Nothobranchius furzeri: one gene and its partner. Each later gene encodes a partner of the first gene's protein in a complex. Links are inferred from orthologs where the notes say so. Each region holds a gene or a part of one and is shown in the gene's direction. Other genes may lie near its edges.

Region 1 (16,324 bases):
TGCGGAGAAATAACACGTGACCATTTCCGCTGCTCTGATTGGTTGTGATGATCACATTGCTGTAGAGCAGACGTAGCCATCAGTTTATGCTACAAGCTTCATCTGTGAGGTGACAATGCTTCTCAATAAGGTACATGACTCCGACTTTAAGGATAATTTAGCATGATCTTGTTATTGTACTTGCTTGTAACTGCCGTTCAGAACAGAAATTCTTATTTTTCCATTCAAATCCGGTGAACTTCAGGGGTTACGTCACAAGCTAGCTAGTTAGCAAAATGCTCCAAAAATCTGAATACATAACTTTTACCAAGGTCATAACTTCTAAGTATTTGGCTTTTCCCTCGTCCTTTAGGACACTTGTGCGTTTATATAAAATTACACACATGTTATGGACTTGTGTCTATTTTTTGCCAGTCTTAACGTCTCTGAAGTTGGTTTGTTTTTAATCATTTATTCAGTGGATCGTTTTTTAATCATGAACGTAAACAGAAAATCTGCGTCTTCACAAGCAACAGCTAGTAATGTTTGCGTGTTTGAATGAAAAGCTGCAAATCTGACGAGTTCCAATTTGATGAGCATGACATGAAAAACCACATTAGCTTTTTCTAGTCAGGTGGTCTTCTCTTGAAAGGACCCTGAACAGTAGAGCACCCGTTCTCTGATCTTTGTTCTGCCTTTTTATTATTTGAAACTAAGCTATTGAAGCTCCTTGAGCTTAACCAGCTCATTGCTTTGCCCAAAGGTTCACGTCTAAACGCTTCATTCAATGTAACACCTGCTCATTACAGCCAAGTCATTATAGTAAAACATAATATAGACGTTATAGTGTGTAACTCCACTAAACTATGTTTAATGATTCAGCTGTTTTTTTTTATATTTCTAATTCAGATTTCAATCTGTTATCTCTTTGAATGTCATTTGTCTTAATATCAGACTTTAAACAGATTTAATGTTGGAAGCAAGAAGCTTGTTTGTTTACAGATGTTTTATGTTAATAGGTGGTTAATATAATTTAGTAACAGGACTTTTTGAGTTCATATGGGAACTCCTATTGATGATGACCTCCCCTGGGATTTTGGGGGACTTAATCACCATTAATAATACTACCACTCAAATACTACCACTTACAACTACAATTCTTCCACTGTGTGTTTTTAATATTCTCTGGCCAAGTAAAATTTGCAGTCACACTTTGCTGTCCTGGTCCATTTTCCATGAGTTGATGTCTTTAGATGTGATTGTTTTTTTATTTAGTTTTGTGCTTATATTATCTGATCAAATACACCAGCTAGTAGTTTCTTTTGTTTGTTTTTTGAAAATTTTCAACTTTAAAGTGTGAAAACAACTTCAGTTTTGATCTTGCACAGGTCTTCAGAGCCAGTCTTCAGTCTGGGATTCGTCTGCAGAGCTCTGGCGTGACTGCAGCCAAAGCTGCAGCAGCTGGCCATGCAGGAGCACCTGGCTTTTCTTTTGGTTAGTGGGGTACAGTGTGTTTTTTAAATCACAGTCCTGTGGGAAGAAATTCTGTCCCTAAAAGTCTTTTCACTGTGGAGAAATAATTTTCTCCTATTCTGTAGAACTGACGGATCAGCAGAAGGAGTTCCAGCAGCTGGCGAGGAGGTTTGCTCGAGAAGAGATGATCCCTGTTGCAGCTGCTTATGACAGGAGTGGGGAAGTAAGAGCAGCAAACATGGGGCTAAAATGTTCATGTCCAATAAATATCACACTACTTTTAACATCAGAGTAGCAAGAGTCATGCAAAAGGTTCGTCACCTTTTAGGCCTTTGAGTTGTGTATTAGTTTAAACCTGTCGTTCCATCCTGAGAGCAACTGCCCTGCATGTTTTAGATTACCTAGACTTATGGGGTGTTTAAGGGGTTTCTGAAGAACTTGTGGACATGCTGCTTAGGTCATTTAGCTGTTAAATTGTGATGGAGCAGAAAAAATAACACTGACTCGACACTAGGGATGTGTATTGGTGAAATTAGGGTGATACGATACGTATCATGATAAAAGGGAGACGATGCAATATATCACAATATATTACAATACATTCAGACAATTGTAGCGCTTTTTTTAGACTGAATTTAATATAGAATTCAATTAACAGTCCAAACTGGTGTTTAACATGAGGTATCTGAACCATGTTACAGGGATTTACGCCGGGGACACACTGGCCGCGGAAGCGCCGCGAAAATGGGACCGCCTTCATTCGGCGCCCTTGTTAAGCTATTCTATAGACCACATGGGCCGCCGAAGCGCCGCGAATTGCCTCGCGCCGGCGCTCAAGGCCGCGCCGTGCAGCGATCATTTCGGCGTTGGCTCTATTTTTTTCGCGAGCCGCGGGTGAATCGCGTCAATTCTGGCATGATTATTTACGTCCCATTTCGGAAGAAACTGCTAGGATACAGCGTGATACGTGATCCAGAATTGGAGCGGGTTCCAAGAGATTCAACTGGCAGAAACAACTCATACCATAGGTTCACACACACACACACACACACACACACACACACACACACACACACACACACACACACACACACACACACACACACACACTCAAACGTAGAGGAAAAGAGCTGAGAAAAGGCAGAGAGGAAATGGAGGACACCAAGTGTTTAAAAGAAAAACTACAGCTGAGCCGAGGCGCGCCTCGACTGGGGCGCGCCTGATCTGAACTGAGGAGCGGCGATCAGCGGCCGAATTTCGTGAGCGATTCGCTTCTCGGCGCTTCCGCGGCCGGTGTGTCCCCGGCGTTACATTTCAATGGTGGAAACAAAACCAACTGCACACTGCTGCCAACTAGCGGTTGATGTTTGAATTGCACACAAAAAAAAGAAAATACACAAATGTTTTAATGTAAATTCTTCCCAAAATTAGATATGCGGCTTTTGAATATTGATATAATATTGCTAGAAAATATATCACGATATATTGACAACAATGAAGCAAAGAAACAGATCTTTGAGTTTGTTAGTAATTTTATTTATTAGGTGCATCTAACCTGTTCTATTTTTCTCTGAAATGAGATCAAATCAGTGCTTCTATGGGTTGTATCCTCTCTGCACTAGAAAAATTTACTTTACTATAATGTTCACTGTAATACATCTTGAAATCAAAGATATTGGTCAATAATGCCAAATTTGTGTTTCAGTCATTTTTATACTGGCTTAAAAATAATTCATTAAGTCTACCAAGCAGGGGTGAAGAATGTTTTCAATAGGGCCAGCCCAGTAATGATCTTGGACCAAAATAAAGGGGGCAGAAAGTCAAATAAAGGGGGGCAGAAGATGTTTTTCCAGACGCCAAGAAAAATTAAATACCAAATCCCCCCTGCAAAGTGTGTCACTGAGAGTTTAAAACAAAAATTATTTTTGTGCAAATATTGGTGTACTCACCTTTAATACTAGTTATTAAAATGCAGCAGTTGATGGACTGGTGCTGATCAAAGTGGAGTGCATCAAATAAAACAATATTAACATAAAGGTGAAACGTGTCATCATAATGATTTATCCTTGTCTAAATAATATTCTTACTGATGAAATCAGAAAATGTATAAACAAGTAGAAATTACATTTAAGTAATAAGTAATTTTCATAACAACTGCACTAGTAGGACTTTAGCATGAAGGTGTCTCCATCCTTCAGTGCTAACCCTGACCAGCTTTCAACAGTTAAACCTTTTTGTCTTTTTACAGAAACTCAAAAAAGGCTTTTAGGCTAATTAAATTAAAGGTGTGATTCCCTGAAAAAAAAAACATTTTATTGATTATTTCTGATAATGAGTCTCTGAGTTTTTCATGCAAACTGAACATGAAAATAGTCTCCTACACCTATCTCCTGCATTAGCATCTGATAGAAAGCAGACGGTGAAACTCTAGGATAGAAAATCCTGACAGATCTATGTCACGCTGTCACTTAACATTCATGGACTCACCCATCTTGACTCACAATGGTGAAGGCTGTTGTTTGTTTAGCATCCAGGAAACAGCAGAGAACATCTCGACTAGTAGACGCTAACTGTTAGCATTAGCAACTCCACCACACAGCAAAACTCCTTCAGGCTTGTGTTTTTTATGGAGGTAAAACATCAACATTGCAAATCAATAGTAGAGTAAATTTTTCTAAGCAAAATCCCTAAAAAGGAACAATAGATATGTCAGGGATTCAAACCCTTTATAGAATGTAATCGTGCCTTTTAGGTGGTGCTAGATCCAGTCCTGCTGCTGTGTGTTTCAGCCATGACGGTTATCTCTAATGAGAAACTTTAAAATGCTTTTTTACAGTATCCATTCCCCATCATTAAGAAGGCATGGGAGCTCGGCCTGGTGAACGGTCACATCCCACAGGAATACGGTGCGCTTCTTGTGCTTTTTAAACAACACACGCTGTCTTTTCTTTATTTTTATGCATCTTGTTTGTGGATAACTGTTTCTGACGAGCTGGCGGATTAACGTCTGACCCACTGCTGCACCTGCCCTTCTTGTCTCAGGTGGATTGGGTTTGTCGATCTTCGACAGCTGCCTCATCACAGAGGAGTTGGCTTACGCCTGCACAGGAATGCAAACCGCCATCGAGGCCAATTCTCTGGGAGTAAGTCTCACAGCAGTTAACACACGTGAGCGTGGCCACAGATTTCTGGTGGCACAATAAACCTTTGTCTCTAACTCGGATCAATAAAACGAAGCTTTGTCTGGAAATGTTAGTATTATCCCACAAAACCTTTGTTTAGATGTAGTTTCCAGGGCCGGTTTTGCTGTTGAATCTATTTCTGCTCTAGTTTGATGTACCTCCCTAATGAGTGATGAATGTTATAGCTCCGTTAGAATGAACTTCATACTGTTTCTGCCACGCAGCAAATGCCTGTTATCCTGGCTGGCAGCGATGCACAAAAGAAGAAATATCTGGGCAGGATGACGGAGGAGCCGCTCATGTGTGTAAGTGTGTCCTTCAGCGTTTTCTGCTTCTCTAGTTTTCAGACGGTAGTACGAGCCACCGTGGTCGCTGGTCACAGGATGTTCTTCATGTGTCCGGACTGGTTTTTGTATCTTTAATGATCTTTTTACAACCTGCCATCAACAGAAACAAAGACGAAGCTGTCGCAGGGTGGATTCGGTCTTATTGATAAGATTTCTTTTGTTCTCGTTAGGCGTACTGTGTGACCGAACCCGGGGCGGGTTCTGATGTGGCCGGTATAAAGACCCGAGCTGTGAAGATGGGTGACGAGTATGTCGTTAACGGGCAGAAGATGTGGATTACTAACGGAGGGAAAGCTAACTGGTCTGTGTTTACTGCATTTTAGGCTTTTATTGCAGTTTTCTTTTTACATCTACTTATTTAATTATTATTTATCTCAGGTATTTCCTCCTCGCCCGAACCGAAGCTGATCCCAAATGTCCAGCTAGCAAAGCTTTCACTGGCTTCATTGTAGATGCAGACACTCCAGGAATTCAACCAGGAAGGAAGGTAGGATGGGATTCTTATTTTCTGTAAGGAAACATCACTTAGTTTGACACATTTAAGCCTTTCCATTAGCTCTCAGGTTCATTTCTTTAAATTTTCTCGCTAACAGAGGAATCTTATATTTGCTTTTGCCCCTGCAGGAGATGAACATGGGCCAGAGGTGCTCTGACACCAGAGGCATTACGTTTGAAGATGTCAGAATACCCAAGGAGAACGTCCTGATCACAGAGGGAGCTGGTTTCAAAATCGCCATGGGTGCCTTTGACAACACCAGACCACCAGTAGGTTCTCCAGCTGGAGCCAGCATCTATCAACCACACTTAATGAGTTTGTGTCCAAGTTGCTAATTGAAAACATGGAAAAAACTTTATTTGCCGATCTTTGATTTGTGGTTCACGTCCTCCAGTGGAATCCTCAGAGGTAACTGAAGTATGTTTTGGCTAATTACTGTACTTGATGCTGTGCAGGTAGCAGCAGGAGCAACAGGTCTGGCACAGAGAGCGCTGGATGAAGCCACTAACTACGCCCTGGAGAGGAAGACATTTGGCAAAGCGATTGCTGAGGTTTGTTTTTAATGAAATCCTTTAATAGAAATGCACCTGACAAGATGGGTAAACTGTTTGTGTCTGGCAGCATCAAGCCGTGTCGTTCCTGCTGGCTGAGATGGCCATGAAGGTGGAGCTGGCCCGGATGGCGTACCAGCGGTCCGCTTGGGAACGGGATCAGGGTCGCAGAAACACTTATTACGCCTCCATCGCCAAGGCCTTCGCTGGAGACATCGCCAATCAGGTGGCTTCTGATGCCGTTCAGATTTTTGGAGGCAACGGCTTCAACAGCGAGTACCCGGTGGAGAAGCTGATGAGGGATGCAAAGATCTACCAGGTGGGTGTTGCCTTTGCATGCAGGTGAAGCTGGAGGCTTTCATTTTAAATTGAATCTGTTCTTTTGTAGATCTATGAAGGCACAGCTCAAATCCAAAGGCTCATCATTGCCAGAGAACACCTAGGAAGATTCCAGAAATGAAATCAGCTGTTTGACTTTTCTTCTTCTGCATTTAAATATTGTACTTTGGATATAAATAAGCTCCTGTCAAACTAATCTGGCCTCAGGATGCAGCTCTAGATGTTGTTTGCCTTAAAACGGATTCATTCTGCTCTGCAGTATCAAACAAGTTCAGACCACGAAAAGGAAACATTTTTAAGACATAAATAATCGTGTTGTTTCCAGTTTAGCACATTTTGTACAAAAACATCTTTTGAATGTGAAGGAAAGAGAGTCTGTTCAGGTTGGAAATGATCATCAGCAGGATACAAATAAATGTGTTTAGAAGGAAATCTGTTTCTGAACTAAAACTGTTGCAGTTATTCTCGTTCACGAGTGTTTTGTTGATAAAGATGTTTTTTTTAATGAAAATCCGGTTGAAGGTCAAAGTTCAGACTTGGCTCACACCTTTGTGATTTTTGTTAACTTGTCTTCATGCCTGTAGTCATGCCTTAAACACACAACTGACTCTGGTCAAATGTGTAAAGTTGTATAAATTCATTTAACACTAGAATGTGTGGAAGTAATTCTGCATGCTGTCAGCCAGTTCCACTCAGCAGACATTATCAACATTATGGTAAACTTCTGCACACTTGCTCACTAATGTTGGATGTAATGCTGTATGATTTTTCTGAGCCGTCCACTTAATAAATTCATTCTGGATTATATGGTTTGGTTTTATGGATGTCGGTCATTCTTTTGGATGAGTGAACAAAGGAAATCCTAAATGTATTAATGAAAAAAAAAAACTGATCACCATTATATGTACTGATTGTAAACAAACATTTAACGCTTTAAATGTTAGTCATGTTACATTTTTACGTATTTGTAGCCGTTTTTAAATCTAGTTTCTGTTAAAACTTTACTGATGTATTTCCTGAAGAATAGGTGTTTTAAATATGATAGCTAATGGTATAATTTAAAGGAAGCTTTTTGATGAATAAGTAAAAGTTTATTTATATAGCGCCTTTCACAGATATAAATCACAACATGATAAAGATCAGAGCAAATACCTCTAACCAATAAAAACATCTGAAAAACAATAGCAGTGATAAACGTAGAAAATAAAATCATGAGTATAAACAAAGGGAAGGTGTGAACTCGAACAAAACCATCTTTTTGAAACATTTAGGGAGGTAACGCCTGGATGAAAAGGTGAGTTTTTAGATGATTTTTAAAGACCTCTACAGTGTTAGAGAGACGGAGATTTGAAGGTAGACTGTTCCAAAGTCTGGGGCCAATAGTCTGAAAGGCCCTGTCCCCTTTGGTTTACAGTCTGGTTCGAGGAACAGCCAGGAGGTTTTCAGATGTGGATCTAAGTTCCGAGAGGTGATGTGTGGGGATAAAAGCTCAGATAGGTAGCTTGGAGCCTGGTTGTTAAGAGCTCTATAGGTCAGGAGGACTAAAACTTTAAACTGTATTCTATATTCTACCGGGAGCCAGTGGAGGGACTGTAAAACTGGAGTGATGTGAGCTCGTCTGCTGGATTTGGTTAGGAGTCCAGCTGCTGCATTTTGGATGGCTTGAAGGCGTGAGAGGGAGGTTTTGCTGAGACCAGTAAAAAGAGCGTTACAGTAGTCTAAGCGTGATGACACAAAGGCATGGATGATTTTTTCCAGATCTGCAGTAGAAACCAGTTTACGGACTTTTGAAATGTTTCTCAGTTGAAAGAAACAAGAGCGGGAGATGGTTTTGACGTGAGTCTAAACTTAAAGCTGGATCAAAAATAACTCCTAGGTTTCTAATGTTGGCCTTGGCTGATGGGCAAAGTAAAAGTAAAGTAAAAGTAACTTTTCCAGTTTTTTCCCTAGAATAGTTACATATTTTTACTATACTATCACTAAAAGTACAAATACAAAACACTTAGTATTTTTGATTTCAAAACCGCACAATAAATAACTCAAATTGATATTTTGTTCTTGTAATACTTCAATCAAACCAGAAGGTGGCGGTAAAGTCTGAAACTATACGACATTTAAAACCGTAGAAGAAGAAGGCCGGAAGTAGCTTGACCATGCAAAATATGTCAGAATGGTAATCCGTCACTTGTTCTTCTGTGCTTTAGAGCATCGTTTTATAATTAAAGTGTGTGTAAATGTTATCTTGTCTTCTTTATTTAAATGCTGTGCCGAAGTGGATGCTACCCTTGTTAGCATTTAGCAGCTAGTCATAACAATGTGTCCTCCTGTATTCGTTTAACTACAGCGTAGTTGTGTCTTGTGACCGTTTCTGTTGTGTTTTTGTCAGAGTGCTCAACTAAAAGATGTCATCATTAAACCTGACGCTCCCAGCTGGCTGCTGCTGGACAAACATGCAGATTACATCGCTGCCTACGGGTCCAAGAAGGACGACTATGTGAGTGACGTTTTATTTACACTTAGTTTGTAGGATTTGTGTCGTCTCGTTTTTATCTGCCTCTGTCGATAAAACCTCGTTTCAGAAGTTTTAAACGTTTTATTTATTTATTTTGGGTTAAGATAAAAGATGCATTCAGGTGTTTTAAAAGGTAAGTTTTTTGTCCCAATTTTCCACAAAGTATATTAAAAAAGACAGAAAATGCTTTAAAGAAACCAAAGATGTACATTTTAAAAAATAATTATAAGACTAAAGAGACGGCCCTCACGTCTCATGAGCACCCACATCAGTGGGGATCTCCCCTGGACCCAAAACAGATTGCCAAGAAGGCAAAATTTTGAACTGCCCTCCACAACTCTCAGCAACTACAGCAGCCTGATCATCTGATTCACTGGTTAAGATTGTGTGCACAAATAAGAAATTTTACTTTGGTTTAACGGGTTTTTGCAACAGGAATTAAATAATGTTTTAAACCCAAAATCAAACTGTACCTGGTCTTTGGTGTTAATGAAATCTGACACCTCTGTGCTGCAGGAGTACACACTGTCAGAGTACCTGAGGATGAGCGGTATCTACTGGGGGCTGACGGTGATGGATCTGATGGGTCAGCTGCCCAGGATGAGCCGTCAGGAGATCATAGACTTCATCAAAGCCTGCCAACACGAGTGTGGAGGCGTCAGCGCCAGTATTGGACATGACCCACACCTGCTGTACACCCTCAGCGCCATCCAGGTGACACAAAGCCTCATTATAATAAATCACAAATGCTAAGGATGTGAGGAAAACTCAGATGAGCTAAACGATCACATGTGTTTTTCTTTAAGGTTTTTAGTTGACATCTTTTTATTTTTACACGTCTTTCTCAGATCTTGTGCTTGTATGACAGCCTGGATGCGATCGATGTTGACAAAGTGGTGGAATATGTGAAAGGGCTTCAGCAGGAGGATGGCTCTTTTGCAGGGGACAAATGGGGTGAGCGAGCTTTACTCTCTCTTTCATTTAGAGTAAAAATAAAAAGTCATTTTCACAAAGCAAAGCAGCTCTTTAGAGAAACCTGCACAACAAACTCTTAGATGTCTGAGAATAAGGAGCTGCATCTGGAATTGTGCACAAGCTTTAACTATAAGATTATTTAAAGATCTTTATCGTAACTGAAGTTTTCGTTCTTTTCAGGAGAAATAGACACACGCTTTTCTTTCTGTGCGGTTGCTACGCTAGCGTTACTGGTACGTACGGGTTTGTCTGAAAATAACCGTAATGCAGGCTGAACCAACAGTTCTGTGATAAAACTCACTCAGTTGCATCTTTTTTCCTGATGTCTGTGAACTTTTTAAAGGAGGTCGTGAGTTTGTTATTTAGTCAGATTAACCATACCTCTGAAGATTACTTTCTAGTCTTCATCTGTCCTTTCCCAGGGGAAAATGGACTCGATAAACGTAGACAAGGCGGTTGAGTTCGTCCTGTCCTGTATGAATTTTGATGGAGGTTTTGGCTGCAGACCTGGTTCAGAGTCTCACGCTGGTCAGGTGAGTTTTTGTCCCCAAACAACAATGTAAAAAAACCTAAAGGTTCAATTTATAATAGAATGAAAAATCTTCTGACATTAAACCCCCTGTTGCTTTTTTACGCTTTCATAAGATTTACTGCTGCACTGGTTTCCTGTCGCTCACTGGCCAGCTGCACCAGCTGAACGCCGACCTGTTGGGCTGGTGGCTCTGTGAGAGGCAGCTGCCATCTGGAGGCCTCAACGGGAGACCAGAGAAGGTCTGCCACCTCCTGATGATGTTTGGTTTTAGATTTGTTTGGAAAAATGACCAAAGAAACCCTTTTTTTAAGACTTGTCTTTAATCAAACCTCCATCTGACGCAGCTCCCAGATGTTTGCTACTCGTGGTGGGTTCTGGCATCGCTGAAGATCATCGGCCGGATCCACTGGATCGACAAAGCCAAGCTGCGGCGGTTTATTCTGGCCTGTCAGGACGAGGAGACGGGAGGTTTTGCAGACCGACCAGGAGACGTGGTGAGACGTGTTCTGAAAAGCAGAGCTCAGATTTTCCTCCAGTGTTCTGAATGTTCTGGTCTCTCCTCTGCAGGTGGATCCTTTCCACACTCTGTTCGGGATCGCCGGTCTCTCTCTCCTCGGCGACGAGCAGATCAAGGCAGTAAATCCGGTTCTGTGCATGCCGGAGGACGTCCTGCAGAGGGTCCACCTGCAGCCCGACCTCCTCAGCTAGCCCATCATCATCCTCACAAACACCGCTACCCTCACATAAACTCCCCTCAGCTGGAAGCAGGAAGTGGATCCGGACTCATCTCTGTTTCACTCTTCGGCCTTAATCCTTCCTCTGCTCACGTTTCTATCCAGCGTATCGTGTTTCAGCTGTTGAAGTTTAAACATAATTTAAAAACACATTCCTTACACTTAAATGCATCACTTCCATCAGCTGCAGCTAAGAATTAATATTATTGTTTATGTGGAACTTTGGATTCAGCCGGGAGGAAAAAGTGTTTTTGGCACCTTAAACTCTTAGCAGTTACGTAGCTGCTTTTTAATCATAAAAGGCGTTTTTATGAGCAGCAAGAGCGATGTGGAGGACACTAACGGTGTTTGCAGCAGACAGGCTTTCTGGGAAACCTAACTAAACAATATTCTACGTTTACAGCTTTATTCACTATTTATTAAACCTATTCACAGCTCTCTAAGGATTCTGGGAAATTTCTGTTAAACATTTGAGTCGTAAATTCTTCACTTTTATTGTCTTATTGTCAAACGTTTGTTTTGTTGTTGTGAACTGATCCGTGTCCGTTGGTACAGAGTAAATAAATCACACCAGTGTTCAAATTTCTAGTGTTTTTTTTTTCTGATTTAGAAGCCAAACATTGTTCCAGTTACAGATCTGATAACTTATGTTCACTAAGACAACTTGAGATCGGTTTAGAAATGAGCTTCACATCAATAGGAAACTTGTTTATGTTATGTTTTTCACTATTTTACTGCAGACACTCAGTAACGTTCTCATATTTGTATTCAGCGTTAAAAATCACAGTTTTAAGATATTCAACTTTACTATAATAAGTTTGATTGCAGAAGTTTCTGTTTTACACAAATAAAAAACTAATCAGTTTGGATGTTGAACTTTTTCTTAGGTACAGGTATTTTATGAAGCGGTGTTTGGCTCGTTAATAGTAAAAATGATCAAATATGTTCATCTAGAAGCTTTTAAACAAGCATTGATGGGTTTGTAATCTAAAGCTTAAAGAGCAAGTCACCCCCTACCAGATTCGTACTCAACTCCCACTTCCTGTTTGAAAAATGCAACAAATGCTGTTGCCCAGCAGACCGAGAGGGCGGAGCCGCTAACAAATACAGGGTACCTCTTAGCCAATAGCGATGGCAGATTTAAATTCAAATGCAGTGCAGAGTTTTTACCTGACAGTTTTAGGCAGAAAATTAAAATTTTAACAAGAAATGCACTAAAGTGTTAAACTATTGACTACACGTGTCTGCAGCACAATTAGACACGCATTTATATAGTTTATTCGAAAAAAAAAGTTGATTTGGGGGTGACTTGCTCTTAAAACATAATGTACATAAAAGCTTTTCAGTTATAAATGTTCTTTAAACTACTTTGATACCTCCGTTATTAAACTGTGTTTGATGTGGTTGCAGATTTAGTAAAACTAAATTACTTCTGTAACGTTTCTCCCTGAGGCTGCAGAGGCGGCTGTGGTTTACCTCCAGATGGCTGCTCCATCACCTGTGGTGTCCAACTCTGGTCCTCAAGGGCCACGCACCTGATTTTAATCAGTAGGTGATTAACAGGCTTATGCAGAGCCTGATGAGCAGCTGAACAGGTGATTCAACCATGTGACGAAGACCGTTGGAGCAGGGAAACAACTAAAACATTACAGGATACGGACCTAGAGTTGGACACCACTGGTAAAAGTCATCAAAATGGTCCACAGTTTTTAATGTTTGATGCGTTTTTCCACTCGGCGTGTCCAACATACACTATTTAAACGAAAAGGTCATTGATGAGCTTGTGAACCAGGGACCACATTAGATTTAGCAAAAATGATGCTGTTACTCTGTCCAGTTTGAGCAATTTTAGGGTTAATTGGGAAGCAAAGACCAGTAGAATAATTTCTATCAAAGAGATAATGTGATTTCTTTTTTCAGAGGCAAAATGGAAGTTGGGATCACTGATATGTAAAAACACCACACAGCTATAATAAATGTTAACATAATCAGCTCCTTTACCACAAAACAAAACATTGTGTGAGTCTCTCACTAAAAGTGAGCCACCTCCTGTTAGTTAAGTTTTTACTGGTGAAAACTTTTTCACCACTGGATTTTTGTCATTTTGATGTGAGTGGTGATCCAAACAGCTTAGGAACAAATTCCATTAGTACCATCATGATGTTGCATAAATAGGGTTTAGTTAGTTCCCCTGTTGCTAAGACCTAAACGCCACAGCGTTTTATTATGAAAGAATTTACAGAAAGTGTTTCTAGGGAGATACTGTAACTTTTTGAAGGTAGTTTCTTCTTCTCTATAATATTAATGCTCCCAAGAGGACAAGAACTAAGATTAGGATTTTTTTTTCATCTTCATTGAGATAAGGATGCTAAAATGTTCTTTTAGATCAGGGGTAGGGAACCTAAAATGTCCAGCATGTTTTGGAGGTTTACCTGCTTCAACACATCTGATTTTAATCAGCAGGTGATTAACTGGCTTCTACTAAGCCTGGTGAGCTGCTGAACAGGTGAATCAACAGTGCTGAAGCAGGGAAACGTCTAAAACCTGCTGGATAGTAACTCCAGGATCAGGGTTCCCTACACCTGGGTATAACTGAACTAAACTGTACTTCCAGCTTATAGCCACTGGAGGGTGCCAATACCCCTTCTCGTTTTTAAAGGTCCAGGGAAACCATGAGGAAAACCTGTAGCTGACAGGGGTTAGCAGACTCAATACTATACAACCACTGTTACATAAATACAGTTTTTATTGTTTTTAGCTGAAAATATAAGAAAAAATACGATTACAGCGAGTTCCTCTGTTGCCAACAGACAAATGCCCATAGCTCTGTTATTTTGAATAACATCAAAATAACTAAGTACATCCCTCTCCTCCTCCTCCTTAATATTGTTGCTCCCAAGAGGACAAACACAGATAGTTTTTCAGCTTTATTTAGATAAAGAGGCTAAAATGTTCTTAGAAGGTTGAACAGAACTAAAGTGTAGTTCCAGCTTAAGGCCACTGGAGGGCGCCAATACCTCTTGTCACATATAAAAAGTCCATGAAAACTTTAGCGCCTGCAGCTAGCTGGGTTTAGCAGACTCTATACAGTCGTCGTTTTTAACACGCAAAAATGCAGCTTTAATTGTGTTTTTAGCTGAAAAATATGAAAAAAAAGACTTAAGCAAGTTCCCCCGTTGTCAATACCACAAATGCCCTTAGCCCTGTTATTTTAAAGAATGTTCTTCCCTCTTCTCCTTATAATTGATGGTCCCAAGAGGACAAACAAAGAGTTTTCTTTATTGATATGAAGAGGAAAAAATGTTTTTTTCAAAGGTGCATTATTAAATAATATAGTGAGAATTTTACAGAGAGAAAATTACAAGAGTCTAATGTTTCAGGCATTTTGCAAGGAAGGGAGCCCCTCCTCCCTCCCTGGAAGAACAAAAAAAATTAATGCAAGTCAACGGGGCTAAAAACGCAATTTTCTAATCTGCTTAGCCTTATGCCCTGGATCGCACATATGTTGTACTGCAATATAAATGAAAAGTAATGGTGGGTGTTTTGACCATGCCAGTCACGCACTTTGAGATTTCTCAGCTTGTAAAAGTTCGTAATTAACATACACATCAGAAATTGGCAAGTCGCCACACAATCTCCTCTTCCCTAGCGTAGCTGCTACTTACCAAATGACCAGATCTATGGTGGTTATTTCCTCCTGTGGGAAGTTTGCTGAACTTACAGCTATTTTCCCTCAGTTTTCTCCATGTCTGGTTCGATGATGTCACTTTTGTGAAGCGCATTTGTAGTCCTGGACTGGTTTTCACACAAAACCTAAAATAGCATTTCCCCCGTTCGAAAATAAGCACATTCGTGGTATCAAAATGTGTCTATAAAATTCACGGACATCATATGTGAAATCCATGGCACAAAACAAGCGGAATTAGGAAATTGCGTTTTTTGCCACATTGACATTCACTTTTTCATTCTTTTGGGTGTAAGGTTATGAAGTTCATTATTTTCAACTCCACACAGCTGCCCCCTGTGCACAATAACACCCGTGTAGAAAAACCAAGGTCGGGTGTTCCTCGGACCACGGTAGATGGGCATGACACATCCAGCTGGCTGCAGGGATTGTCAGTTTTTTTCCATTCAAAACAAAGGAAGGAGGGATGTAACTACTGTTTACCATCAGTGAGTGTGGGGTTGCCGTGTCTCCTGTGAACTGATGCTGCAGTGCCAACAATTGCAATTTGATAACGGCTGGCAAAAATCTTCAGAGTTGTTGAGGTTGCAGTAACCAAATTTTACCACAGGATGTAATTTTTACTTCATTTCTACATAATGCACCTTTAAAGGTGTGGTTCACTGAAATTCACTGAAAAATACTGAGAGATCTACAAACTGTCACTTAACATTCATGGACTCATCCATCTTGACTTGCGACGGCGACTCGTAGAAGCTAACCATTAGCATCAGCAACTCCGCCCCACAGCAGAACTTCTTCAGGCTTGTGTTATTTGTGGAGATAAAACATCAACGTTGCAAAGCAAAGAGTCAGTGGGAGAGTCACAATGCTGTTAGAAGAGAGATGTCCAAATATCAGGAAATAAGACTCCAAATCCTGTCGCGTTCAGCTCAACTCTAAAATGGCTCACGTGTAGTTCCTCAAACAAGTCCACCGGAGCTTTTTTTCCCACATAATGAGTCTTAGAAGGCATTAATTCCTATTAGAGACCACTGCAAATGTATTAATTAAATGAGTCAACCACACCTTTAAATGGTTAAATAGAATTAAAATGTAGTTTAGAATTGTCACCACTGGCAGGCATCAATTTCCTCTCATTGCTTAGTTAAAATCAATTTAAAACAGAGTTTGTAGCGCTGTAGTAGTGGGAATGTGTAGAGTAGCGATGCAATGTGATTGGATAGATGAACTTTATTCAGTGTGAGAAATTGAAGGTGTGGCGTGAGAGCGTGTGAAGACAGTCAACCATGTTGTTAGTAGTAAACATTATAATTGAATACAGTTCATTTTGGGTGTTAAAGTCTCTTTTTCCGGAGTGCTTCTCTTATCCGATGGCACCATCTAGTGGCTGACAAGCATATCACACAAATAGTCTCTCGATTCGTTTTTTAAGATGACAATTTCATGTTTCTTGTTTATTAATGGGCTACTGTAGCTGACAAACGGAGCTAAAACACGTTGTTTTACAAGTATTATT
Region 2 (16,495 bases), on another chromosome or scaffold:
ACCTTACCGACTGTAGGTACAGTCGTCTTAATCTGACGACCCATCATCAGCTGGGCCGGACTGGCGCCTGTGGCTTGTACTGGTGTGGCTCTGTAGGCCATGAGAGCCAAAAACTGGTCGTCCTGCCGGAGAATCCTCTTTGCTGTCTGAACAGCTCTCTCAGCCTTACCATTGGCCTGAGGATAGTGGGGGCTGGAGGTGATGTGCCTGAAATCATAGGCTACAGAAAAACTGTCAAACTCTTTGCTCGTAAACTGTGTAGCATCGTCAGTGGTGAGTTCTTCTGGACAACCCCGGCTAGCAAACATGTTTTTCAGGCGGGACCATTTGGTCTCTTCATGTCCGGTAGGTGAGCCAACTCTAAATAACAAGAATAAAAGTCCACAACTACCAAGTAATGTTCTTTTTCATACTCCCAGATGTCCGCGCCTATCGATTGCCAGGGCCTCTGTGGTAGTGGTGTTGTGATCAGAGGCTCCTTCCGTTGTGTAGGTCTGACTCTCATGCACTCCAGACATTTTGTCACCAGTTCCTGGATGTCTTTTTCTAGTCCGGGCCACCACACACTCATGCGCGCTCGTTCCTTGCACTTGGTGATGCCTTGGTGCACATCATGTAACCGGTGAAGGATCTCTTTTCTCATACTTTGGGGAATCACGATGCGGTCTCCATACAGCACAAGACCCTTTGATATCGACAGGCTGTTACTGCAGTGGTGATGGGCTTTAGCTTGTGTGGGTACACTCCCCACATACTTTGGCCATCCCTCCAAGATCAGTCTGTTCACCACCTGCAGGCCATGATCCACACTCGTCTCCTGCTTGATCCATTCCAGTTTGGAAGGTGACATTGGCCACGCCGTGTGAGCTGCATCTTCAAACTCTGAATCATCATACGTTAGCTCGGACACTTCACTTGTTATTACAGGTAATGGCTGTCTGGAAAGCATGTCGGCTACTGTCAGTGTTTTCCCCGGCACGTACTCTGTGATGGGGTTATACTTCATCATCCGCATCAGCAACTGCTGGCTCCTCAAGGGGACCCTATCAAGATCTTTGTTGTTAATTAGGGGAACCAGCGGTTTGTGGTCTGTGTGGACCGTAAAGTTGTTCAGGCCATATAGGTAAGTGGAAAATCTCTTGCAGGACCAAACTGCAGCCAGGCATTCTTTTTCTATTTGTGCTTGGCGCATCTCAGCTTCAGTCAATGATCTTGAACAGAAAGCTAATGGTTTCAGTCCATCTGAGTGTCTCTGTAACAGTACCCCACCTAGCCCGTAGCTGCTCGCGTCTGCACTCACCACGGTTGGTTTGGTTACATTATAGAATGCAAGTGAAGGTGCGGTGGAAATGAGTTGTTTTACCTTGTTGAATGCGTTATCTTGTGCTGTGTCCCAGGTCTGCACTGCTCTGCTCCTCAGCAGGTCATTGAGTGGCTTTATCACTTCAGATAAGTTGGGCAGGAAGCGTCCAAGGTAATGGACCATGCCCAGGAACCTCCTCAAGCCAGGCACGTCAGTTGGGGGCTGTAGCTCTGTGATGGCGGCTACTTTAGAGGGATCAGGCTGAATGCCGTCACCGCCAATTCGATGTCCCAAATAGCTCAGCTGTCTTTGTCTCAGGAAACATTTCACATTGTTCAGTTCTAGGTCTGCACTTTTCAGGATGCACAGAGCATTTTGGAGTCTCTCTTTGTGTTCTTTATCATCTCTGCCATGGACGAGGATGTCATCCATGTACACTTCCACTCCCTCCTGTCCTCTGAACGGCACAGACATTTCCCTCTGGAAACTTTCTGGCGCACTGGAGATTCCAAAGGGCAGTCGCTTGAAAAAGAACCGACCCACTGGGGTAATGAACGTGGTTAGTTTAGCTGTTCCTCTCTCAAGTGGGATTTGCCGGAAGCCGCTTGCTGCGTCCAGTAGAGAGAATACTCTAGACTCTGCTAGCCTCGGCAATATACCATCTATGGTGGGTAGGACAAATCGTTCCCTCTTCACTGCCATGTTCAGTGTCTTCAGATCAACACAAATCCATACCTCGCCATTTTTCTTTGGGACTGGAACTGTGGGAGCACACCACTCTGTTGGCTCTGTTATTTCTTCTATGGCGTTGCATTTCAGCATCCTGTCGAGCTCGTTCTTGACTTTGGAGAGAAGGGGGCAGACACTCGCCTGGCTGTGCTGATGCTGTAGGGGACAGCGTCGTCCTGCAGATGTATTTTCACAGGTTTTATTTTTAGGAGGCCTAGATCCGTCCCGGACGTGCTTCTCACCTCTTCCACTTTCTTCACCAGTCCCATCGCCACAGCAACATCACGGCCTACTAAGTTGCTGCTGTTAGTTGTTTCCATGACGTGGATACTGAACCTGTAACTTTGCCCTTTATATTTTGTAGTGGCAGTGAACAGTCCTAGACAGTTGAGCCTTCCACCAGGGCTGTCGAAATCTGTGTGAGCGCTTGATAGTTGGGGCGAGCTGTTGAAGCGATGATAGGTGTCGTCCGAAATTACACTGGCATCTGCACCAGTATCAATTTTGAAGCTGACAGAGGTACCGCAGATGTTTGGTTGGACAGTCCATGGCTTATTAGAGTCAGTTACATAAAGTTGTGTTGTTTTTATCTCGCCCAGGAAGTGCCCCTCGTTGAAATTTTCATCCAGCCTCTCTCTTGTTTTTATTTCGTTTACTCTTGCAGAGCGGCACACGGCGGCAAAGTGTCCAATTTTATGGCAGTTTCTGCATTTTGCTTGCCTGGCTGCACACAGCGTATTGCTCCTGTGATCTCGTCCGCACCTGAAGCATTTAGATTCTGCAGCGCTGCCGTCGCGTTGCCCTGGCGCCTGGGGCCCGCCGCCGCCCCGCGCCCTCTCTCTTCCTCTGTGTTGTTGGGAAGGCGCAGCACGCACATTGTGTCTAACCTCACTCAGAGCTGCTGCATCTCCCGTGTCAGCCTTAGCTTGCTGGCTAACTTGCCTCTTTATCTGCTCAGACTGTCTCACCATCTCCACGGCTTTCTCCAGTGTGAGGTCGGCTTTTAACTGTAGTTTCTCTGACATGTCTTTGTCCAGGATCCCAACCACTAACTTGTCGCGAATGTTTTCAATCTTCGCCGGACCAAACTGACAGGTCTCGGCCAGTTCATAGAGTGTACGTATGTATTCCTCCGCGGACTCACCCTTCTTTTGCGAGCGGAGGTAAAACCGTGCTCGTTCGTGGATGACGTTAACTTTTGGAATGAAGTAATTATTTAGCTTTCCCAATACCGTGTCATAGTCCTCCTCATCCTCCTCCTCATTGAACCGCAGAGTGTTAAACACTTGTTCCGCTTCCTTGCCAAGCGCGTAGAGTAGGGTGCTAACCTGCACAGCTCCATCCTCGAGGTTTAGCTTAGTTGCTAGCCGTCAACGCTGGAACCGCTGCCTCCACTCCGGCCACTGCTCCAGGCGGGTGAAGTCAAAGTTGTCGGGAGGGTTAAACTTGGCCATATTCACCGCTTAACTTCTGACACCATGTTCTATGTATGACCAACGTAATACATGACTCAACGTCCTTCAGCTCGAGAGGTGCTGTGTTTATTTCTCAGCCCGCCGAACTCCCTCCAAACTCCTCCCCCTTCAGGCAAGTCTTAAAGGCATACGCACTGTATCTATTCACATGACAGTCATCATGGACCTTGTAGACTGGTGTGAGCATAACCACCTTCAATTAAACACCAGTAAAACAAAGGAAATGGTGATTGGCTTCCAGAGAAACACTCCTCCTCACTCACCGGTAAACATCCAGGTGCAGACGTTGAGGTGGTGGATACCATTAGTGTTCACGTCATCAGTAAACTGAACTGGTCCAACAACACAGATGCTCTGTATTCCTGAGGAGGCTGAGGTCCATCAGATTTAATTCACATCTGCTAAAATTCTTTTATCACTCTGCTGTCAGCTCTGTTATTCATTCTGCCGTGGTCTGTTGGGGTGCAGGCAGCTCTGACCGAGACAGGAGGAGACTGAACAAGCTAGTAAAATAAAGCTAGCTCTGTTCTGGGCTGCCAACTAGATTCAGCTGAGGATGATGTGTGGAAGGAGGATGCTAAGGAAGATGACCTCCATCTTGGGAAACCCCTCCTACCCACCGTGTTCCATTGTGGGGACCATGGACAGCTCCTTCAGAGGTAGACTAAGACATCCCAGATGTAAAACAGAACACTACCGTAGGTCATTCATCCCCTCTGCAGTAATAGTGCGTAAATTGTCAGTTTAACTGGTACTGGCATTATCCTGGTACACAATGACATCAGTGTGGTATTCAGTATGTGTTCAATACTTGTGCAGTACCTGACGTAATATGTCTGAGTTCATTATGCTGCATAGTTCTGGAAACCCAAGTTTCCTTTTCATTCATTGTTTTTAGTGGTTGAAGGTTACACAAATAAATAAATAAACATAAATAAACATTGATAGCTCATTACCTTTGTGTGTTTATCTGAAATCTCGTTATTATTCTCTTCTTCCTTTTTTCTCTAAGCAGATGTGCTGCTTTAGTCGGTGTGGGGTTAATAAAGTCTATTATATTTTATTTTATTTGCAGATGACAATAATAGTTTTTATTCTGGGGTATGGCTCAAAATAATTGCAGAAAGTGTGGTTTGTGAGATGTCTAAAATTAAAACGTAGCTTAAAATAATTTATTAATTATGAAATGCAACAAAAAACATTACGGACGTTATTTTTTAGAATAAAAAAATGTTACTTTTAGTAGAAATTTTGAGTCACAAAACTTAGTTGCATATGATGCAAAAAGTTTATAAATCCATGGAAATTTCCAAAACGTGTGTTTTAGAACTATCAGCGCAACACATTTTATATTATTCACTTCATTCACACCTGAGTTTCTGTTTAAAGAAGTTAGAGTTCACACACGCGATCAATACTAATCCCTAGTTTGTATTTAAAGAAAATATATCAACTAAATGAATAATATTTAAGACTAATGACATTGTTTGCAGTAATGTATTTGTAGAGATGCTTATTTAAGCACAACCAGATGGAAATAATTGTCTTATAAGTAAAACAGGAACAGGTTTGTTTAGAACTGCTGTTGGAGTTTTGATTTAATTTATTAATGACTACATTTGGATAAGTAAACTAAATAAATGGGATTAAATATCAAACTCTATATTGTTACAGTAAAGGAAGTGAGCTGGAAAATTGTTGTTTTTGCAGATTTGCTGTAAGATTTTCCTCATAAAATAAGACCTTTCTAGGAAAATCTGTGACTCTTTTTCAGCCACTTAGCTCAAATGAGATTGCTTCCTCTGCTGTCTAAATCTAGCTCTCACAAACACACAGAGAGAGATGAACTGTTACCTTTTCCATCCTTTCACAGTGAGGGTTAAATCCTGGACGCGCCGCTGACCATCGGTGCTCTGCAGCAGAACTTTAATGGAGTCTGGAGTTCCCCGTTTGTCCTCTATGAATGTTTTTTCTCTGTGCCCATTCACAACGTTAGAAATAATTGATTCTGCAAATGAGACGTCAGACCTATCAGGCCTTTTTCCCCCATGTGTCATCTACATATTGCTCGATGAAAGTTCTCCACAGTGCTTTTTAAGACCTGGCTGGTAAACTCTGAAAGGATATCATCAAAATACCACCTCCCCCAAAAAAACCCAATCTTTAAATAATCTACGGGCTTTTGTTCATTCTTGCAGTACAAGAAGTCATTTGGTGCAAAAATGAAGAATTTGGAATCTTATGCATATTTTATGGCAGAGTGTAAAGAGCGATCTGGAAGAAAAATGTTTAAGATTCAAAGTGATTTAAAAAAAAAGCTACAGCTTCACTCTGAAAAACTGCCTTGTTGACCCCCAAAAAGTGTAGGCTATACTATTAACTTTCTGCATAACATTCTTAATGTTTCGTCCCAGGACAAAAAACACGTTAAAATAAAATCCAGAGCACTGATTTGGAATAAAAAAAAGAACAAAAATGAAGATAGATTATTCAAACTTCCCATTAGAGTCTGAAATCCTCCTGGACAAGGTTGTCTGTGAGCAAAACTAGAGCTAATTCCAGGAAAGATGTTTCCCTTCCTCCCGTGGTGTAGCTGATCCAACAGATGCATCTGAAGCCTTAGCAGTTCCCATTTTATGTTACCTGGGAAATTAGCAACAGGCACACTACTGACATGGAAAACACTTACTTACCGTAAGTTAAGTGGCCAGGAGGAAATTGTTAAATGGACCAACATTACCACAGAGGAGATCAGTTGATGGCGCCATGTTTTTGCTTGGCAAAATGACTGGTAGATGAAAAAGAAAACAGTATTATTGATTTTAAAAAACCGTCTTGTATTTTTATTACGACTTCTCAATTAGCTTAGACATTCTTCAGAAAGCAGCAACCAGACAATAGCAGATTTTAAAGTTTTTGAAGCATTAGGACAAATTAGTTAAAGGACTCAAATGAAATTACTGCATAAAAAATCCTGTGCAAACAAAATAACCGAATATTTACAGGGAGTGAGAACATCAATGATAATAATATTATTATTATTTAATATTATAGATTATTATTATTATTATTGCTGTTGTTGTTAACATTAATAGAGTATTTATTAGTAACCCTGAAAAATATTCAGAGGAAAAAAATAACAAAAATGTTCTTTTCCCTAATTTGGAACAAAATATAATAAAGTGGAGCATCCTCTGTAATGAGCAAATGCCTTTAAAAATTCTATTATTCCATATTTAGTTTAGTTTTCTTTTCCCTCTTCATAGTTTTCAAGTCCTCAAAATCCTCCAAAAGGATCTGGCGCGCTTTTATTAACGCAGGCGGAGCCGTTTTCCCAAACACGGAAGTGACGTCAAAACGCTCATGTAGATGGGAACGTCTACTGGTTCTGACGTGGAAACTGATTACTGAAGTACAAATTCTCCCTTTGAGACAACACTGATAATTCTTGCAGTCGCGCTGTAGAGCCTCTTGTTGATCTTTTTTGTTGTTCTGGTTTAAATCGGGTGTTTCGCTGCTGAATCTTCCGGTGAGTTTGGCTCAGGCCTCTTCTACAATGTAGCATATCTGGTTAGCTTATTTAACTCATGAAGCTGAATTAAAACGGGTTCGTCTTTACAAATAAACAAAAACATACAAAACAAGTTACCAGAAGCTAAGTCAAGCAAACAGCCTGCTAGCTGTCAGTACTTTCGCTCGTAAGCTAAGTCTGTTTCGCTTCTAGCAAGTTTAGCAGGGACGCTAACCAGCTGCTGGCTAACAGGTAATACTCTCGTGATTGTGACCGCTCTACAGACCTGAGCTGATCCGGTGGTATCATGAAGCTCTACAGCCTCAGCGTCCACTATAAAGGGTCGACCAAAGCCAATCTCCTGAAAGCGGCCTATGACCTGTCATCCTTCAGCTTCTTCCAGCGCTCCAGGTGCCTCCCAGTATTTACGTATAGATTAAACGCTCTAGTCTTTGTTGGTGTTAATGGTGTTTGAAGTATTTGGTACTAAAACTCTGTCAAACGCCTAAACTCGTGGATCACATATCATACTTGCTTACTGTTTTCATTAGACTACCATCAGTGATGATGTTTTATTTTGTAAATTCAGTGTTCAAGAGTTCATGACCTTCACCAGTGCACTGATTGTTGAACGAACATCTCAAGGAACCCGTGCCTCCGTCAAAGAACAAGGTAAGGCTGGTGTGGTCCGTTTTAAAGACTTGTATTTGATCTTCTACCTGGTCATGACGACAAAACCATGTTGGGTTCTCAGGAGTAAGAACAAGAGTGTAAAGGATCTTTTAGATGTTAAGAAAAACATTGATGTTGAGGTTATTTTCTACATGTTTTCTCACTTTTTTCTGTCAGTTTGAAGTTGAGAATAAAGACATAACGCACAAAGTAGCAAATGAAGCTTCTTTGTTTATCCATAACTAAAGAGAAACAAAAATGTGGACTTTTTAAAATAAATAAAAATACTAAATATTAGTATTTTAAAAAGCTTATTTTTTTCTTGGTATTTCATTAAGATATACATATATATATATATTTTAAAATGTTGGCTTATATAAATATTTCATAATTATTCTTAAAAATAGTAGCTTTAGTCCTCGCTGTATCAAAAAGCACGAACTGCCCATCCTGTATTGATCGTGACAGATTCCCTTTTGCATTATTTTGCTAAACATCACTATTTATTTCTGAGTCCCAAAGATCCTCAGTGGGTTTCAGGTTGGGAATCTGGTGTCCAGAATAAAATGATGTCTCATGATCCCTGAACCAGCCTTTCACAGTTGACATTGTTATATACATTTATATATTGTATATTATTTATTTATTATTTATTTGTTTGCTCTGTTAAATCCGGCTTGTGACTTGTTTTTGAACAGGCAGTGTTTGATCTAAACGTGGCTGAGTGTCAGTAACTGGATGTTAAACTTTCTACATGGCCTAGTGGTAGAGTGTCCACCCTGGGACTGGGAGATCAGGTTCAGATCCCAGGCAGGTCATGCCAAAGTCTTTAAAAATGGGACCCAATGATTGACGCTCAGCTTTAAGGGGTTGGATTGGGGGGTTAGACCACCAAATAGTTCCAGAGCACAGCCACTGCTGCAGCTCACCGCTCCCCACGTGCTGCAAACAGGATAGCCGTCCTCTATCAGCTGTCCCTCGGCATTCTTCAAATATCCAAAAAATGCCGTACTTCCCACTTTGTCTTCTTTGAGGGATAATAAATGTCCTCCTGAGCGCTGCCGTCTCCTCCTTTGGCCATTATTTCAGCTTTAGCTTCAAGAAAGTTTTGGTTGTAAACAACAAAGTGCGCATGTGCCGCCGGCAACTTCAGCAGATGATACGGTGGCTGGTAAGGGTCACCACGCCTACACCGCAGCCACGGTGATCCACCGAGATAATATAGTTTTTAAACAAGACGGTTATTGTTACGTCCCCGACGGGTGTTGTAAGAATGTGAAGGATGGGGGTAACATAAGAACTGGCGGAGGAGTTTAAAATGGGTTTAATGGTAACAAAAAGGTATTAAAAAAAAAGCAAACAGATCTCTCTAAAAGGTTAACATTACACAGCAAATTATCAGCTATAAAACACCGGGTTAAAACTTATATTAAAAGCTTCACCACACGAAGGTGTTTAAAAACCGAGGTCAGTAAAATTGCACAAACCAAGTTAACCTTAAAACCAAACAGCCAAAAAGATCCCACTGGATCGTCCAGAAAAACTTATCACCAAGAGTTCAAAACTGCCAAAGTTTAAAACTCGTCCAAACGAAAGGGGTTGAAAACAAACAAAACCGGGAGGACAGCAGAACCCCTGCACTGCTGAGGGCACAGCCCTTTTATCCAGGTGTTTGCTCATCAGGTAGATTCCTCGCAGCTGTGCTCCTCAGCAGCCCGGGAGAGACGAGGAGGAGGGGCGGTGTCGGGCTGCTTCTCTCCACTGGCCACACTGGCAACCGTAACAGTTATTATTACTGTCAACTTCTTTTACCGGGGTTTACCGCTACACCGGTTACCGTGACAACCCGAGATTTGACTTATTTCCACTTCTGCAGAGTACCTGTGCCATGTGTACGTGAGAAACGACAACTTGGGTGGTGTGGTGATCGCAGACACTGAATATCCACAGAGGGTCTGCTTCACGCTGCTTGAAAAGGTGAGTAAAACGTTTAGCGTGCTGCTGCAGCGCTTTGCTCTGAACAGCAGCTTTTAGACTGCTCTGTCTCTCAGGTATTAGATGAGTTCTCCAGGCAAGTGGACAGTGTAGACTGGCCATCCGGGAGTCCTGACACCGTCCACTACAAAGCTCTGGACATTCACCTTTCTAAGTACCAGGTTAGTTAAACGGCGTCACACACCATCGTGTATTTTATCATATTTGTGGCTTTTTATGAATCTCGTCAAACAGATTCTTACAGCTGATCATCTGTTTCCCCCTCAGAATCCCAGAGAAGCTGATGCAATGACCAAAGTGCAGGCAGAGCTGGATGAGACCAAGATCATTTTGGTAAAATACGTTCACATTCTTTAAAGGCCAGCTCCTCTGAGAAACTTTTATTTTATTTGTTTGTTTACTTCTTTTTGAAAGTAAGTCACTGAGAGTTTAGGATGCAGGCTGAAGAAGAAAATAGTCTCTTACACCTATTTCCTGCTTTAGCTTCTGATAGAATACAGACAGAAAACGCTCGGGTGTGTAGTCGTGCACACGCATCAGCGGAGACGTTCACCTTTCAGACCTCTCCATCGCCTGGACTGTTGCCAAGCAGTTCCCCGTTGATGGCTCTGCTGTTGACAGATTTAAAGGAAGTGGCATCCTGATCATTCGCAGACTTGCGGTTTCTGTTGTTTTCAAAAGAAAGTAAAAAATGTGGGCGTGTCTCCGTCACCCTCTTTTCAGGCTATTGCATCAGCGGCGCTTCGTCTCCATCACAGAGCTGATGTAAACATATAGACTAGGCTGTAGGAGTCTGAGCCGCGGCTGTGGTTCGATGGCAAATGTGTCATCGTGTTGGAATGTGACAGGAGCTGTTTAACCCTCGGGGGTCCGTGGACGCGCATCCGCGTCTTTAACAGGTCTGATTTGGGACGCTGTAGCAGCAAGACTCCGCCTCCCTGAGTTTCGGTTTCAATTCAGCTTTAAAAAGGAGATTTTAAACTACACCCCAGTTTTTAAATGTTGTTAATAGGCAACGTAAAAGCGGAGTTATGCTAAACTAAAAAAACGACCTATTTTTAGACAATCTGATAACTTGTCAAAACAGCAGTTTAATGATCCGTGAGAGGGAACGTGCTTGTGAACATAAAAACATGAGATCCTGTTGCTGTTGGTGGAAGTCTCACATATTCAGCTGATAAAAAGCATCATTATGTAGCTGAGAGAGAGAGGAAGGCTGCACGAGTAACGAGGTGTGCGCCAAAAGGAGCCGCTTGGCGGGGAAAGGAGTGGCGCCAACGGAGTAACAACAAACAATTAGACAGATATTGACGGTAAACTTCATATTTTGGAGCGATCCGGACAGATATATCGTCTCTGCAGTTTAGTGGGCTTTTATTAGGCTTTAATAAAGGATGATGAGAAGGATAAATGTCCACCAGGCAGGTCAGATAGTACGGCTGTTTTTGGAACTGGAAGCAGAGGAAGTGGGCGGAGACTCACAGCCGGAGTTTGAGGCAAATAGCGAGGATGTTGATGACGATGTGGCGGATCCATCCTTCCTCATAGAAGAGTTGGGTCATGATGAGGTAGAGGATGACGGCAGAGATCCAGCTCCTCGGAGATCCAACGAGACGAGTGGGCGGCGCCGCGCAGCTGTCAGATCTCGATCTCCGCGGCGTGAGACAGAGCCACTCCCCACTCCAAAATGCATGTACATTATTGCCAAATCAATAAAATTAGTATAAATTCAGATAGTCCAGACTGTCCTGAAAAAATTATGCCCCATAAGGCAAAATTTGTTTTTACTAGAAAAACCAAAATGAGTCAAAAACGGTGATTTACATCCTGGACCCCAGAGGGCTAATAATTTATTTTTAATGTGTTATTTGCTATATTTATTCATATATTTTTTTTTTATAAATGTACAGCCTAAATTACCATTCTAAATTATAAAAAACATTCGTCATAAATGTTTGTTGGTTTCACAGTAAAATAAACAACTTTTTTCCTATTCGGATTTTATGTTTTTGAGTGATTTAAGGTCTAATATGCAACCCCTTTATGTCCAAATATAAAAAATAAGTATAAATCCATAAAGTCCAGGTTGTGCTGAAAAGATTGATACCACATAAGGCAGTGCTTATGGCTTTTATTTTGGAAATACAAAAGAAAACTCTAAATTAGTCAAAAACGGCAAATTACACCCTGGAGCCCAGAGGGTTGATCTCTAGGTGGTGTGTTTCACATCCTGTCAGACGTCAACATCCAGAGCCTGTGGCTTTAAGAAGTAGGCTTTAGCGGTTTTCTCTGGATAATTCTGAATCCTAATCTCTGCACTGTTTCACGTATAAACTCTCTGCAGCACAACACCATGGAAAGTCTGTTGGAAAGAGGAGAGAAACTGGATGACCTGGTTGCGAAGTCAGAGCACCTGGGAAATCAGTCCAAAGCCTTCTACAAGACCGTAAGTCCCGTCGGCTCGTCTCGTTTCACGTCCAACTCTGACCTCGTCTGCTTCTGTTTTAAAACTCTGGTTTTTCTGTCGACCCTTCAGGCACGGAAACAGAACTCGTGCTGTGAAATCATGTGATGCTGCTGCCTCGTCCTCGTGGGGACAACTCTCTGCCTTTCTGCTTTTCCTACAACCCCCATCATGCACCGGCTCTCCACCGGGACGGAGCGCCGGGATGAGAGCAGAACGGGGTGGCCAGTTTCAGCGGGGTGACTGATGGGGGCTGCAGGAGTGATGGGGTTTGGTCGGGGGAAGGAGTGAACGTCTGTGTGCTGTTTCTTACCAACTGAGGACATTATAGCGTGACGTTATGTGCTGGTGATGTCATCGACACCTTTTAAACCCCTTTGATGTTATTCAGATCGAATCAAAAGCTAATCGCTTGATCTCTTAAAACACTGAGCGAGTATTAACCACACTTGTGCTTTCTGCTTCATGATAACTGACAATCTGGTGACGTCGCCGTTGAACTTTTGGAAACTGGTTTTCTCCTTACCCCGTTTGCCCACTAGGGGGCTCTGTTTATTTACATCACCGCTCTAATGAAGCCTCGGTGTTTAACGCGGTCTTCTAAACAACTTGGATGTTTGACATCAGACTTTTACATATTTTAATTAACATTGAGCTGCTCTGCATTTACTTACACAACTGCTTTGTTTTCTTTTTCGGTCTATTTAATGATGTTAGATGAAGTCTTCAACATTCCTGTTTGGATGAGTCTGTGATAAGCTGATAATGTGGACAATTAGCTGTAAAATGTTTGGAAACTCCCAGTTTTGTTTGTCCTCGTTTGCAAAGAGTTCCTGAAACTTCTGATAAGAACTCACTTAAAGCTGCTGTCCTGGATTTTGTTCTTGTACCTCTAAATCCAAGAAGCACTTCACCCTTAAAAACGGAGGTCATTCTGGGAGGTCTAGGTGCTCGTTTCATTTTCTGCACTCTAGTCATCTTGAATGGGTATGATAATTAAAAATGGGACAGGAAGTACTCAGTAATAGCACATCTGGCTTTTACAGTCGCCCTACAGCTGCCATTCTTCATTTTCTTTACACGACTGGAGAAAACGTCATTTCAAGAGTCCGTGCCTTTGGTTGTGTGTTTTCGATGTTTCTCTGACGTGTGTGTGTGTGTGTGTGTGTATATATCGCTGATACTCTTCCAACCTCCAGCTGCACGCTGTGTTAATGCTGAGAAGATTGTGCAGTCTCTGCTTTCTGTTGTGTAAACTTTGGTGCAACGTCTGCAGACTGTTTCTTTAACATGAAGAGGAATATATATATATATATATATATATATATATATATATATATATACATACATATATATAAATTTTCATAAGTTACAAACCTTGCATGCTTTTTCTTTTGACCAACTCCAAGCTTGTCCAGGGTTGATTTTCACTTTTTTGTCTTTTGAAAACTTCCAACTGTATTATCAGATCTCGACTGTTGCTTGTTGCAGCTCCATGTGCAGCACATATTTTTTGAAAATAAAACCTGTAACTTACTTTCTGTAAAAACACTACTCTTGCTTAGATAAAAAGCATAAATGTCTGATGTATGGTTTCATTTTTTTTATTCGTGTGCAAAAGTCAGTTATAGTGAGCTGTTGGCTTTCTGAGATGAAGCTAATAAAGCTTTTATTTTAATTTAAAAATAATAAGATAGCTTTAATTTGAATATAACACATTTCATGCATAGTTCGATGCGCTTTCCAAGAAGGAAAAACTGAAAACAACTTTTAAAATAAACGGGACAACATAAGTTACTAATAATGCAAGATAATTAAACACATCCGTTCTTTTCATTAGGAAAACAGATTAGCTGAATAATTTGATCCAGTCCGGTGCAATCAGCGATAAACATCTGTGTTTGTGGAAAATCCGAGTTTTGAAGGAGCTCTTGAACGCAGCACAGAGGGCAGCGTGAGCGTGCAGCTGAAAGTGAGAAGGACAGTTCGGAGTTTCCGACGCGGGAAATATGTGATCGAGGATGGAAAACAGGAGCTTTGTTGTCGTTAATGAAAGTTCCAACTCACAGGTGAGGAGCTAAAGGACACTAACAAAGGATTTTCTGCCAAAAGAAGCGCGAATCTTTGGGGAATCCGCGTTAATTCACCTTTAAAACCTAAACATGACGTCACTGAAGTTATTTAAAATTTCACGGTTAAAACTGAACTAAACATTTAATAAATACGTGTCTAGCATAGTATTTGTATTCTTTGCATGCTTGTCTTATCTTTTCCACGGTCGCGACGCTGATTTTCCTGCTGTGGACTTCCTGCAACAAGTTTCCATTTGCAGCCCGACTTGATTAAGCCCAAACTCCGTCTTATCTCAGGATTTATCTTTGGTTTAATATTCTAGTTGATAGAAGTGACTGGTTTCAAACTGACATCCTTAATGAGGAGTGATGTTTTTTACTTTTCAGGTGGTTCTCGGAGAGCAGCTTGTGCACCAACAGAGCAATGGTGAGCTACATCATTTGTTCTTTGTGATTCTTAGAAATCAATTCAGGCTCATCAGGGTGGAAAGTGCAAACTATCTCTGTGGGTCTTAATGATTTAACATCTTGTGGTTCACAGACCTGCAGCAAATAAAAAGGCTTTAGGTTAAAGTCTTTGTTGTGGAGCAAAGTCCATTATTCCCACAGCCAGTGTGCGGAGATCCCATAAATACAACTTATTTAATGTGACCTATGAGAAAATAAAAGATATTAACATTTTTCTGTGTTTAATTAGGTTTACAGCAAGGAATAGAAAGGTGTTAGAAACAGAACAAGAGTTAACTCGTGCTTTTTCTTGCAGAAGCAATGAAACCAGCGTTCCTTTGGAGCATTTTTGTGCTCCAGATTTTACAGAGATGTAGTCTTTACTGATTGTAATGATTTTAAGGATTTATGTGTGTGTCCCCCAAGTTTCCACTGCAGCTGCTACTTGTGCTTCGTGCACAGAGGACCCACTAACCAGGACCAGTGGGATCATCCCTGGTGAGCAGACGTGTTTATAGTTGTGCGTTCGGTTGAAGCCATTACAAACCGTGGTTGAGTCAACAGCAAACAGAAACAGGCCGTTTCCTTTAAGCAGCTTAAACCACTAAATAAGGGAGAGGCTCATAAACTGGGAGTCAAACAAGGCAGAAGATCAGTTTTCAGTGAGTAATTTAAAAAAAGCTATAATACATCATTTAGTTCATTTTTTACTTTTCATTTTTAATCTTAATTTTAACCCATTTTTTAATTATGATCACGGTTTTTAAAGCAGTTTTATGGTTTTTGTGAAGCACTTATCTTAAGTATAAAAATCCTTTCATCTTTTTGGCTAAATAAATATAATTTTCCTAAAATTCTTTCACACTTTAACTTTATAATCACTCAAACGCTTCTGTTTGCTTTTGGGTCCGGGACTTTGGACCTGTTTACTGCTAAAGCATTAAAATCTTAGGCCTGACTATAAAAACAACCCCCATGTCAGGAATGCTGCTTTCATTTTATTCTTGCAGAATGAAGCGGCTGCATGTTTTTAACCCTCCCACTGTCCTAATGGGTGTGACCCCGCGAGAGAAGCTGACCATTGAGCAGGATTGATGGTTTATCCTTTGAGGTCCATGTGGCAGGGGTGAGGTGGTGCTCACTCCTCACCCCTGCCACATGGACCATTAGGACAGTGGGAGGGTTAAACGAGCATCCATGGAGTAGCTTTTGTTTTATATGAAATTAGGGGCGAAGGTGACACAGGAGTTAAGCGCTCGCCCCGTAATCGGAAGGTTGCAGGTTTGAGTCCCGCTCAGTCTGTCGCTGTCGTTGTGTCCTTGGGCCTGCTGGTGGTGGTCGGAGGGACCAGTGGTGGCAGTGCTCGGCAGCCCCGCCTCTGTCAGTGCGCCCCAGGGCAGCTGTGGCTACGTCGTAGCTCATCACCACCAGTGTGTGAATGTGTGTGTGAATGGGTGAATGACTGGTTGTGTTGTAAAGCGCTTTGGGGGGTTCCATGGCTCTAGAAGGCTCTATATCAAATACAGACCATTTAGGTTTAAGCGTCTTCTCGTTCATGTTTTGTGCCGTTAGGTGCCATCGCCGCCACGGTGTTCATTGTTTTTCTGCTCGGCCTCTATGCTGTTCTCTGGAAGTGCATGATGTCACCGCCACAAAGGTAAAAAAAAATAAAAATGCATGTTGTAACTTTTTTTTTGCAGATTCAGTTCATTTGTTTTTAAACGTGATGATCATGCAAACCGTTTGTGCCTCTGACCGGTTTGAACTTTGCTCTCCAGCTCATCACAAACTCAGCTGCACAGATTCTGCAGTTTTTTATCGATAAAT

What was found.
Region 2: the proteins of rabggtb (region 1) and ykt6 are in contact, whole or in part, in a crystal structure (PDB 6J7F), measured with the Homo sapiens proteins. The link is inferred for Nothobranchius furzeri from reciprocal best matches to the Homo sapiens genes RABGGTB and YKT6. Residues at the interface, in NP_004573.2 of Homo sapiens: Thr3, Pro4, Gln5, Lys6, Asp7, Ile9, Lys11, Tyr37, Leu45, Trp52, Leu236, Asp238, Cys240, Arg281, Gly283, Asp284, Met285, Asp287, Phe289, His290; in NP_006546.1 of Homo sapiens: Lys60, Gln62, Asp63, Leu65, Asn83, Glu84, Tyr85, Pro86, Ser87, Leu153, Asn155, Thr156, Glu158, Arg189, Lys190, Cys194, Cys195.

Annotation. Positions count from the first base shown.
Region 1 is NC_091751.1:41,392,177-41,408,500, forward strand, and holds rabggtb (geranylgeranyl transferase type-2 subunit beta), read left to right. Parts: upstream 1-8,416; 5' UTR 8,417-8,537; coding exon 8,538-8,540; intron 8,541-8,753; coding exon 8,754-8,861; intron 8,862-9,395; coding exon 9,396-9,593; intron 9,594-9,727; coding exon 9,728-9,833; intron 9,834-10,034; coding exon 10,035-10,087; intron 10,088-10,276; coding exon 10,277-10,387; intron 10,388-10,499; coding exon 10,500-10,625; intron 10,626-10,730; coding exon 10,731-10,880; intron 10,881-10,953; coding exon 10,954-11,094; 3' UTR 11,095-11,702; downstream 11,703-16,324. Other genes in the region: acadm (medium-chain specific acyl-CoA dehydrogenase, mitochondrial), read left to right, coding at 116-130, 1,368-1,473, 1,578-1,675, 4,289-4,358, 4,495-4,595, 4,859-4,939, 5,152-5,282, 5,360-5,468 and 4 more. UniProt on the Homo sapiens protein: Catalyzes the transfer of a geranylgeranyl moiety from geranylgeranyl diphosphate to both cysteines of Rab proteins with the C-terminal sequence -XXCC, -XCXC and -CCXX, such as RAB1A, RAB3A, RAB5A and RAB7A.
Region 2 is NC_091757.1:56,083,889-56,100,383, reverse strand, and holds ykt6 (synaptobrevin homolog YKT6), read left to right. Parts: upstream 1-6,843; 5' UTR 6,844-7,036; intron 7,037-7,270; 5' UTR 7,271-7,325; coding exon 7,326-7,429; intron 7,430-7,607; coding exon 7,608-7,690; intron 7,691-9,566; coding exon 9,567-9,667; intron 9,668-9,741; coding exon 9,742-9,846; intron 9,847-9,952; coding exon 9,953-10,018; intron 10,019-12,029; coding exon 12,030-12,131; intron 12,132-12,221; coding exon 12,222-12,257; 3' UTR 12,258-13,732; downstream 13,733-16,495. Other genes in the region: uncharacterized protein, read left to right, coding at 14,171-14,218, 14,609-14,648, 15,095-15,166, 16,241-16,325. UniProt on the Homo sapiens protein: Vesicular soluble NSF attachment protein receptor (v-SNARE) mediating vesicle docking and fusion to a specific acceptor cellular compartment. Functions in endoplasmic reticulum to Golgi transport; as part of a SNARE complex composed of GOSR1, GOSR2 and STX5.